2 linked regions of the Mus musculus genome follow. The main gene of each other region encodes a partner of the protein of the gene in region 2 in a complex. Links are inferred from orthologs where the notes say so. Each region holds a gene or a part of one and is shown on either strand. Other genes may lie near its edges.

Region 1 (3,045 bases), on a different chromosome or scaffold from region 2:
CAGAACCCCTGGTAGGAGAAAATAAACTCCCACAAGCTGTCTTCTGATCTCAACACACACACTGTGAATTCACACACAGCATGCACACAGTCCTTGTCATCTGCTGTGCAGTATCTCTTGAGAATCACTGAAGGCTGAAGACCACTATTAATCTCAAATGATAAAAATTTTTTTTATCCAACATGCCTATTTCTTCGATGGTCTGGATGATGGTAAAAATGTAGTCTGTCCATGTCGGGTAGTGGTGGCGCACATCTTTATTCCTAGCACTTGGGAGGCAGAGATAGGCAGATCTCTGAGTTTGAGGCTAACGTGGTCTACCAAATTCCAGGACAGCCAGGGCTACACAGAGAAACCCTGTCTCAGAAAAATCAACCAACCAACCAAACAAAGCAAAGCACACACGCCTTCTGTCAGTTAAGTTCTTAAGTTCTGATGGTGACCATGCTAGCCCCTAGGCTTTGGTTACACACAACAACCAGGAGTACCTATCCTATTTTATAATGAGAAATAAGTTTCTGGTCTTACTAAGGACTCAATGATATGTCCTTTGTCACTTAGGTTGAGGGAAATATTTGATCCATCTTCCCTTGCATAAGAACACAGACATTTTAAGACACCGAAAGAGAAACAAGTAGTTTGGGATAGAGATCTTTTAGAGAAAAAAAAAAAAAAAAAAAAACCAAAAAACCCACAATTTGATAACTGAAAAAAGAAAAGTGAGCATTAAGTAGGAATTTTAAAAGACCAGAAATGAACCAAACTTTCCTCAGAACAGGTTTATTGGCCATAATGAAGTTCTATATACAAAGTGACCTAAACCTTAGTGACAAATGCTTTAATTCCAGGATGTATGTGTTTAAAGCAGGAAGACCATACATTTGAAGTCAGCCTGGGCTACATAGTTCTAGGCCATGATGGGCTGTGATCCTGGACTACAGTGACTGTCACCAAAGAGCAGAGTGACAAAAGCCCAAACAATTGCTCCTCTCTAACTGATGTCTTGGTAACTGGCTGTCATATAAATAAGGGAGTCCACATTGGACATTAACTGAATGGCCTATTTCTGGAACTTTAATAGTTTTACAAATGAGCTGAGACAGGCATGACTGAATCCCGGTGAGAGGCCACTGGAGAGCTGACATCAGATGTCAAGAGGCCATTTTGTGCACAGCCACTGTGATGCCATCGTGTTTCTGGATCATAATGTTCCTGAAAAGCCAAAAAGAAAATATTCAGCAAACTCTTAATGCATGTGTCTCAGTGTAAGATTAAATTTATTTAGTTTAAATATATTTATGTTTAGATGACAGCATATTTATCTATATTCTCATACAAAACCAAATATGAACAGTCCCTGTTGACAGGTGTCCGTCACCAACCCCTAGTGCCATAGCCTCTCCATACTTCCCACCCAGAAAGGGGACTACATTCTCAAACCAAGAGCCAAGTCTTCCGCTAAGAAACATGAATAAATAAATAGCACAGATGGGCATGAACAGTTGAGGATTGTGGGCAAATCTAATTATAACATAAAGAAATTAATCCTTTTAATTAAAAAAAATTTTTAAAAAGTAATCCTTAACCCTACTACTCAACATGATTCTGATTTTTATTTTTTCCTGGAGGTTTTGGTGGTATTGTTGGAGTTAGAATCTAGAGCCTTGCACATGCTATCACTAGCCTAGCCTCCTTCCTGGTCCTAATTTTTAGATTAGATTTTTAAAAAATATATGTATGTGTCTGTCCGTGTGTGTCATTATACACACTGGTGCCTGAGAAGGCCAGCGAGTGGTGTTGGTTCCTCTGGAGTTGGAGTTATAAGTGGTTGTGAACTTCCAAATGTGGGTGCTGGGAACTGACACAGGTCCTCTGGGAGAGTGCCATGTGCTTTCAACCACTGAGCCGCCTCCCCAGCTCTTAATTCTTATTTATGTTACTTATTTTGGGGGTCTGTATGTGTGCCACTGCTTGCATGACAACGTCAGGGTGTTTGTCTCCTCAGTCATGTGGGTTCCAGGTATGGAGTTCCAGTCATCAGACTTGGCAGCAAGCACGTCTATTTGCTTAGCCATCTTGCTGGCTCCTGGTTCTAATTTTAATTTGTATATATTTATACATATATCGATATTAATATCTTCTTTTTCCCTTGCCCCAAACTGACCAAAGTATGCATTTTTAAAGGTTCACATACTCTATCTCTGTGCAGGTGTGCACATACAGGTGTGTGCATGTACACACACCTATGTATAGGCACGGAGGTCAGAAGAAGGTGCTGGGTGTCCTCTATTACTGTGCAACTATCCTTTGATGTGTGGTCTTATCCCTGAGCCTGAGCCTCATTTTCTCTGCTACACTGGAGGACAGCCAGCTCCAACAATCCTCCCATCTCTGCCCACCCCCTCGCCCCTGACTGAGGGCTGAGGTTGCAGGTGTTTGTTGTGTGGGTGCTGGGGTACTAGTATATAAGCTCTCATCCTCGGGACTGTGGCTCTTAAGCACTGGCATTTCTCCAGCCCCACAGTTTTGTTTTCTTCCTTTTATCACTTAGCATCTGAATAAAGATCTTTATCTAGGAATATCTTTAAGACCTTACTTTAGGGAATTCTATGCAGCTAATCATTTTTTGTGTTTTTACTGTTTTTCCTTTATTGGAGTGGCAAACTGATAGTTCTTATTTTAATGAAGTTCTGTTCTCATGAGGCCTGGATGTCCAATGGCTCTGTGGTGCATTGACTAATGAACTACCACTGAATGCAGGGGAAAGCCCAATCAAGTTTTTCAGAACAAAAAGAAAGGGGTGTGCTGGTATGTACTCACCCATTATCTGATTCTAAACATACCACAGGGATGTCGGTGGGGTCAGAGGTTAGCCTAGCTGCCTGCTGGGCTAGAACAGATATGACTCCAGCGTGCTCATCCGACAGGGTACCACGGCCTAGAGAATAGTGAGAAGTGTCTAAAAATTAATATAAACCTATAGTTTAGTATCTCCTCCAGAATTATTTGTGAAAAAGAAACTCCGCTCACGGCCTTTTTGCCTTT
Region 2 (4,604 bases):
ATTCATTCACAGGGTTGCCCTCGGACCTTCACAAATACACTGTGGCTCATGTACGCCCCTCACACATCCTACACACACACACACACACACACACACAGAGAGAGAGAGAGAGAGAGAGAGAGAGAGAGAGAGAGAGCAAGAAATAACATTTAAATTAAATGTCTAATTGGTTAAGATAGTTATGTTTCTTATCACAATAAAAATGTATTAACTTTTTAAAGGGTAATCTAAAATACTGAAGAGATCTGTTATAAAAGTAACCTTAATATATTGCTACTGCAACTATAAAACAAGTATGTTTGAAGAAGTTTGGGAACTTTTTAAAAAATTAAATAAAACTCTGCACATGAGCCAGCAGCTCTACTGCTCAGTATCTATACCCAGAAGAAACAAAAATTATTTCTAATTAAAGATCTATACACAAATATTCACAGAAGAATTGCTCAAGTATCTTTTATCTGAGGAGTGAATAAACAAATTGTGAGTTGGACAGATGACCAAATGGTTAAAGTGCTCGCCCAGCAAGTGTGAGGACTGGGAGTTCAGATCCCCAGAAATCCAGAAATGCCAGGAGGGCATTCCCTGTCACTTGTCAGTCCAGGTCCATTAAGGCAAAGCAAGATGGTTTGCCAGAGCAAGCTGGGTAGCAAGATCAGAATCATAGGAACCTCTGGGTTTGACTACAAGACCCTGACTCAATAAGTAAGATGGAAGGTCAGTCCAAGTAACATCAAATTCAGCGAGCACACGCGTGCACACACGCAAAAGAATAAATACACATGAGAGAGAGGGAGAGAGAGAGAGCGAGAGAGCCCAAGAGCAAAAACAAAAGGTATGCTATATCTGTACAATAAATCACCTACTTAAAAGATGAATGGAACTACTAAAAAGGCAACATCGTAGATACATCTCAATAAACATTATTGTGGGTAAAAAGAAGCCAGACATGTGGCTATGGAAGTCATAAAATCACATTTATATGAAATGTTCAAAAAGCCAAAATATAACAAAAGAAAGCAGACCAAATTGTTCTTGGGTGAAAGGGGGTTAAGGACTGTGGAAAAGGAGGGAGCACAAGCTGACAGAACGAATGGTTGTGAAGGTTCAGTGGAGTGCTGAGTATAAACTGTGTTTGTCTGTCAGCCCTCATGGGACAGTAACCTTCCCCGTGTATTCATCTTTTATTGTATTTTAATTATATATCAAGGAAATTTTAAAAGCTGGATTAATTAGATCTCAAGTCACTAGGTATGTGATCCAGAATTCTCATTTTCTCACATTACACTTGTACACATCTTGTTTTCAAAGCAAGTTTTCACGATGAACTGCAGGTATTGGGCTTCCACGCTGGAAAAAGGATTATAAAGTCATCTCTACATTGCTACTTGCTCTATCTCACAAGGTTACTGTGAAATGAGATAACTGATGGGAAAGTTCTTTGGCAGCAGTAAAGTCTTACACAACCATATAGAACACTTACTCAAAAAGTAGATTTTGGTCACATTAACAAATTGAGACTCTTGTAATCTTGGTTACCCAAAGTCAGTCTCTGCACAGAAATAGAAACAGTGGTCTATTCAAATGTTATCTTTTAAATCTCTCTCCAGAGGCTGCTTCCCGGGTCTCTGGTTTTCCTAGGTGTCCCGGTGTATTATCTGGTGTTATCTGCACTTTCGCTTTTCAAAGGAAAAACAACTGTCAGATGACTACGGCACAAGACATTTACTTCCCATTACGAAGAAAAGCCACTGCCATGAAAATTCTTTTGTTAAGCTTGTTTCCAAAACGGTAACTGACCTTTTTCTCCCATTAAATATCAGTTAAATTACTTGCCATTTGATATTCAATCTCACACATTGTTTCCTGATGGGATCTGTATTATTGACAGCGTGGATAATTTGAAAAATATTAAAGCCTCTAAGACTTATGTAGTGCAGTCATCTGATACTTGGGCTTGCTGCAAAATTTGACACTGTTTCCCTTTTACTATTACTGTACAACTGAGTTCTCGGCCATACAGCCAAGTTTGTCTGATATGTGACATTTGGCCTAGTTACATGCGAAAGTTTCCATAGCGCATTATGGAAGACAAAACAATATCTTCTTCAAATACAATTCCACGGCTGAATTTAACCATTGAGCTAAGCTTCTATATATCTGACAATTCTAAAAAGTTACTGTACCAGCAACAGGTACTGCAATCAGAAAGAAACAAAGCATGCAATCACAAACAAACACACACACACACACACACACACACACACACAGCTACCGTTTTCCATTTGCAAGAAACTCCTTTTCAGTAACAGGTGTAAGAAGGGAAAGAAAATTCGACAGTAAGTTCTACCGCAAGTCCTCCTCGAGTCTGGTCAGTAGTAACCCTAACCACTTCGGTTTCGCATTTCTCCTTCGATAACACTAAGGTCGCTCGGCAAGAGAACTGCACAGCTCCAATTTTAGTTTCCAAGAAGCCTGACAGACCGCCAGCCTGCCCACTCGCTCCTCCAGCCTCCTCAGTGCTCCGCAGGTTGGCCGAACGCGCGACAGTCTGCACAAAGCCACCCGAGGGCTGCGGATCACAGGGAGACAGCAGCTCCCGGCCGGGCCCCGGAGGCCTGCGGTGAGGTCGCAGCCCGGGCAGCGTGCGGACCGACAGCCTCCCGAGGCCGCCGTGCTGGGGCTGGGGACGCGGCGCGTGGCGCGGGCGGGGCATAAACAGCCTAGCGAAGAGGGCAGGGGACCGCACGCCCCGCCCGAGGCCGCGACCCCTCGGGGGCCCGCGACGCCTCACCTGAACGCGCAGTCCGGGTCGCGGGCGTCTCGTCCCGGCGCGCCTAATCCGCTCCGCTTGCTGAAGAGCTTCTGGAACAGGGTGGGGGCCATGCTGGCCGCCGCAAGACTGGGGTCGCTCGGCTGGGAGCTCGCAGGAGGCCCCCCGCTCCTACCGCCACCCCGCCACCCCCATGGGCGCCTCAGTCATATGACAGAAATTAGTCACTTCAAACGGCCACGGCGCGCGGGGCGGAGCGCGAGATTGAGGTCGCGGCGATTGGCTGGCGACGAGCCGTATCACGTGGCAGCAAACTGAGCGGGGGGCGGGGTGGGGGTGGGGAGGCGGGGCCGCCTGCCATTGGCTGGCTCACGGGTCCGTCACGCGGCCTCTCACGGGGCGGGGCGTGCGAGGGCGCGCGCGGCTGGGTGGCAAGAGAAAGCCTCTGGGACCCAGGCCCGCCTCTGACCCTCCCAAACTGCTAGGGCTCTAGGAGGAGACCTAGGTCTGTGACTTGAGGTGCGGTTTCCATTGACGCCCGCACTTAGTCTCTAGGAAGATCTAGCGACTGGGGGCTCAGGCTCGATCTCCTTGGTAACCAAAAAGATCACAAGCAAAACCAAGAGAGGCAAGCAGCCGTAAAAAAAAAAAAAAAAAAAAAAAAAAAAAAAAGACATCTATCTAAAAATATCTAACCCTTTATGCTAAGTATTTAGAATTTGAAAGACTGCGGTTAAAGAGCTCAGTAGTTAGAGGCCCTGGGTTTGATCCTCATCACCAAACAAGAAGTTTAGCAAAATGTCTAAGAGAGACAATCAGAACTTCCATGAAACAAAGCTGTATATCTTTAATATCTGGGTATGAGGAAAGGAGGAACTGTAACATTGTTACCAAATGGCAAGACTGCTCTCAAAACGGAAAATACAGCTCACGAACATCCTTCCAGTCTTATCAAACCATCAGTGTTCAGATCAAATTCGTCATCCGTTTACCAGGATGAGGGATTTCGTACAGTGGAATGAAGTTCTCTGAGAAATGTGGATGAATGTGGGGAAATACTGGTGTATGTTTGCAAGGGTAGACAAAGACGCTTGAGAATTTCACTTAGCTAGACATAGGAACCAAATCTTTAAGAAGTTGTCAGCTGATCTGCAGTTGAAAAAAAATAAATAAGTAGCCCTTATTTACATGGGAAAAAGAAAAAATGCCGGGCAGTGGTGGCACACGTCTTTAATCCCAGTACTTGGGAGGCAGAGGCAGGCAGATTTCTGAGTTCAAGGTCAGCCTGGTCTACAGAGTGAGTTCCAGGACAGCCAGGGCTACACAGAAAGATCCTGTCTCGAAAAAACAAAACAAGAAAACAAAACAAAAGAATAAAAGAAAAATTAGCAGGATATTTTTATATCGTTAATAATTTATCACTGGTCAGCATGTTGAGCTGTTACAACATGTTACAAAGTCTCATGTTACAAGACTTTTTTATATTTATTGAGACAGGGTCTCTTGCTGGCCTGGAGCTCACCAAGTAGTGTAGGATGACCTTTCTGCTTCATCTTCTTTGACAGCACAAGAATCACAACCTTGCATTCCTTTGCCCATCCTTGAAGTAGATTCTGGGAATGGAATGCAGGTCTTCTTGTTCACACAGCAAGCACTTCATCTCCAGAGCTGCCTTCTGAAGGTGTTGGAGGAGGAGGGAGAAGTCTCCAGTTCACTCTCCTGTCTCCACCGCTCCAGTACACAAGACATTTAAAAAGCACTAATTATAGATAACTAAAACGAGAATTTGCAGCCAAGCAGTGGTGGCATACACTCTTAATCTCAACACTCTGGA

What was found.
Region 1: Fnip1 (region 2) and Lamtor5 share a complex: the UniProt entries of both Homo sapiens proteins name them as parts of the lysosomal folliculin complex. The link is inferred for Mus musculus from reciprocal best matches to the Homo sapiens genes FNIP1 and LAMTOR5.

The regions. Positions count from the first base shown.
Region 1 is NC_000069.6:107,281,802-107,284,846, reverse strand, and holds the end of Lamtor5 (ragulator complex protein LAMTOR5), read right to left. Parts: intron 2,939-3,045; coding exon 2,821-2,938; intron 1,213-2,820; coding exon 1,152-1,212; 3' UTR 765-1,151; downstream 1-764. UniProt on the Homo sapiens protein: As part of the Ragulator complex it is involved in amino acid sensing and activation of mTORC1, a signaling complex promoting cell growth in response to growth factors, energy levels, and amino acids.
Region 2 is NC_000077.6:54,436,576-54,441,179, reverse strand, and holds the start of Fnip1 (folliculin-interacting protein 1), read right to left. Parts: upstream 3,002-4,604; 5' UTR 2,884-3,001; coding exon 2,792-2,883; intron 2,786-2,791; exon of another isoform or gene 2,273-2,785; intron 1,550-2,272; exon of another isoform or gene 1-1,549. UniProt on the Homo sapiens protein: Binding partner of the GTPase-activating protein FLCN: involved in the cellular response to amino acid availability by regulating the non-canonical mTORC1 signaling cascade controlling the MiT/TFE factors TFEB and TFE3.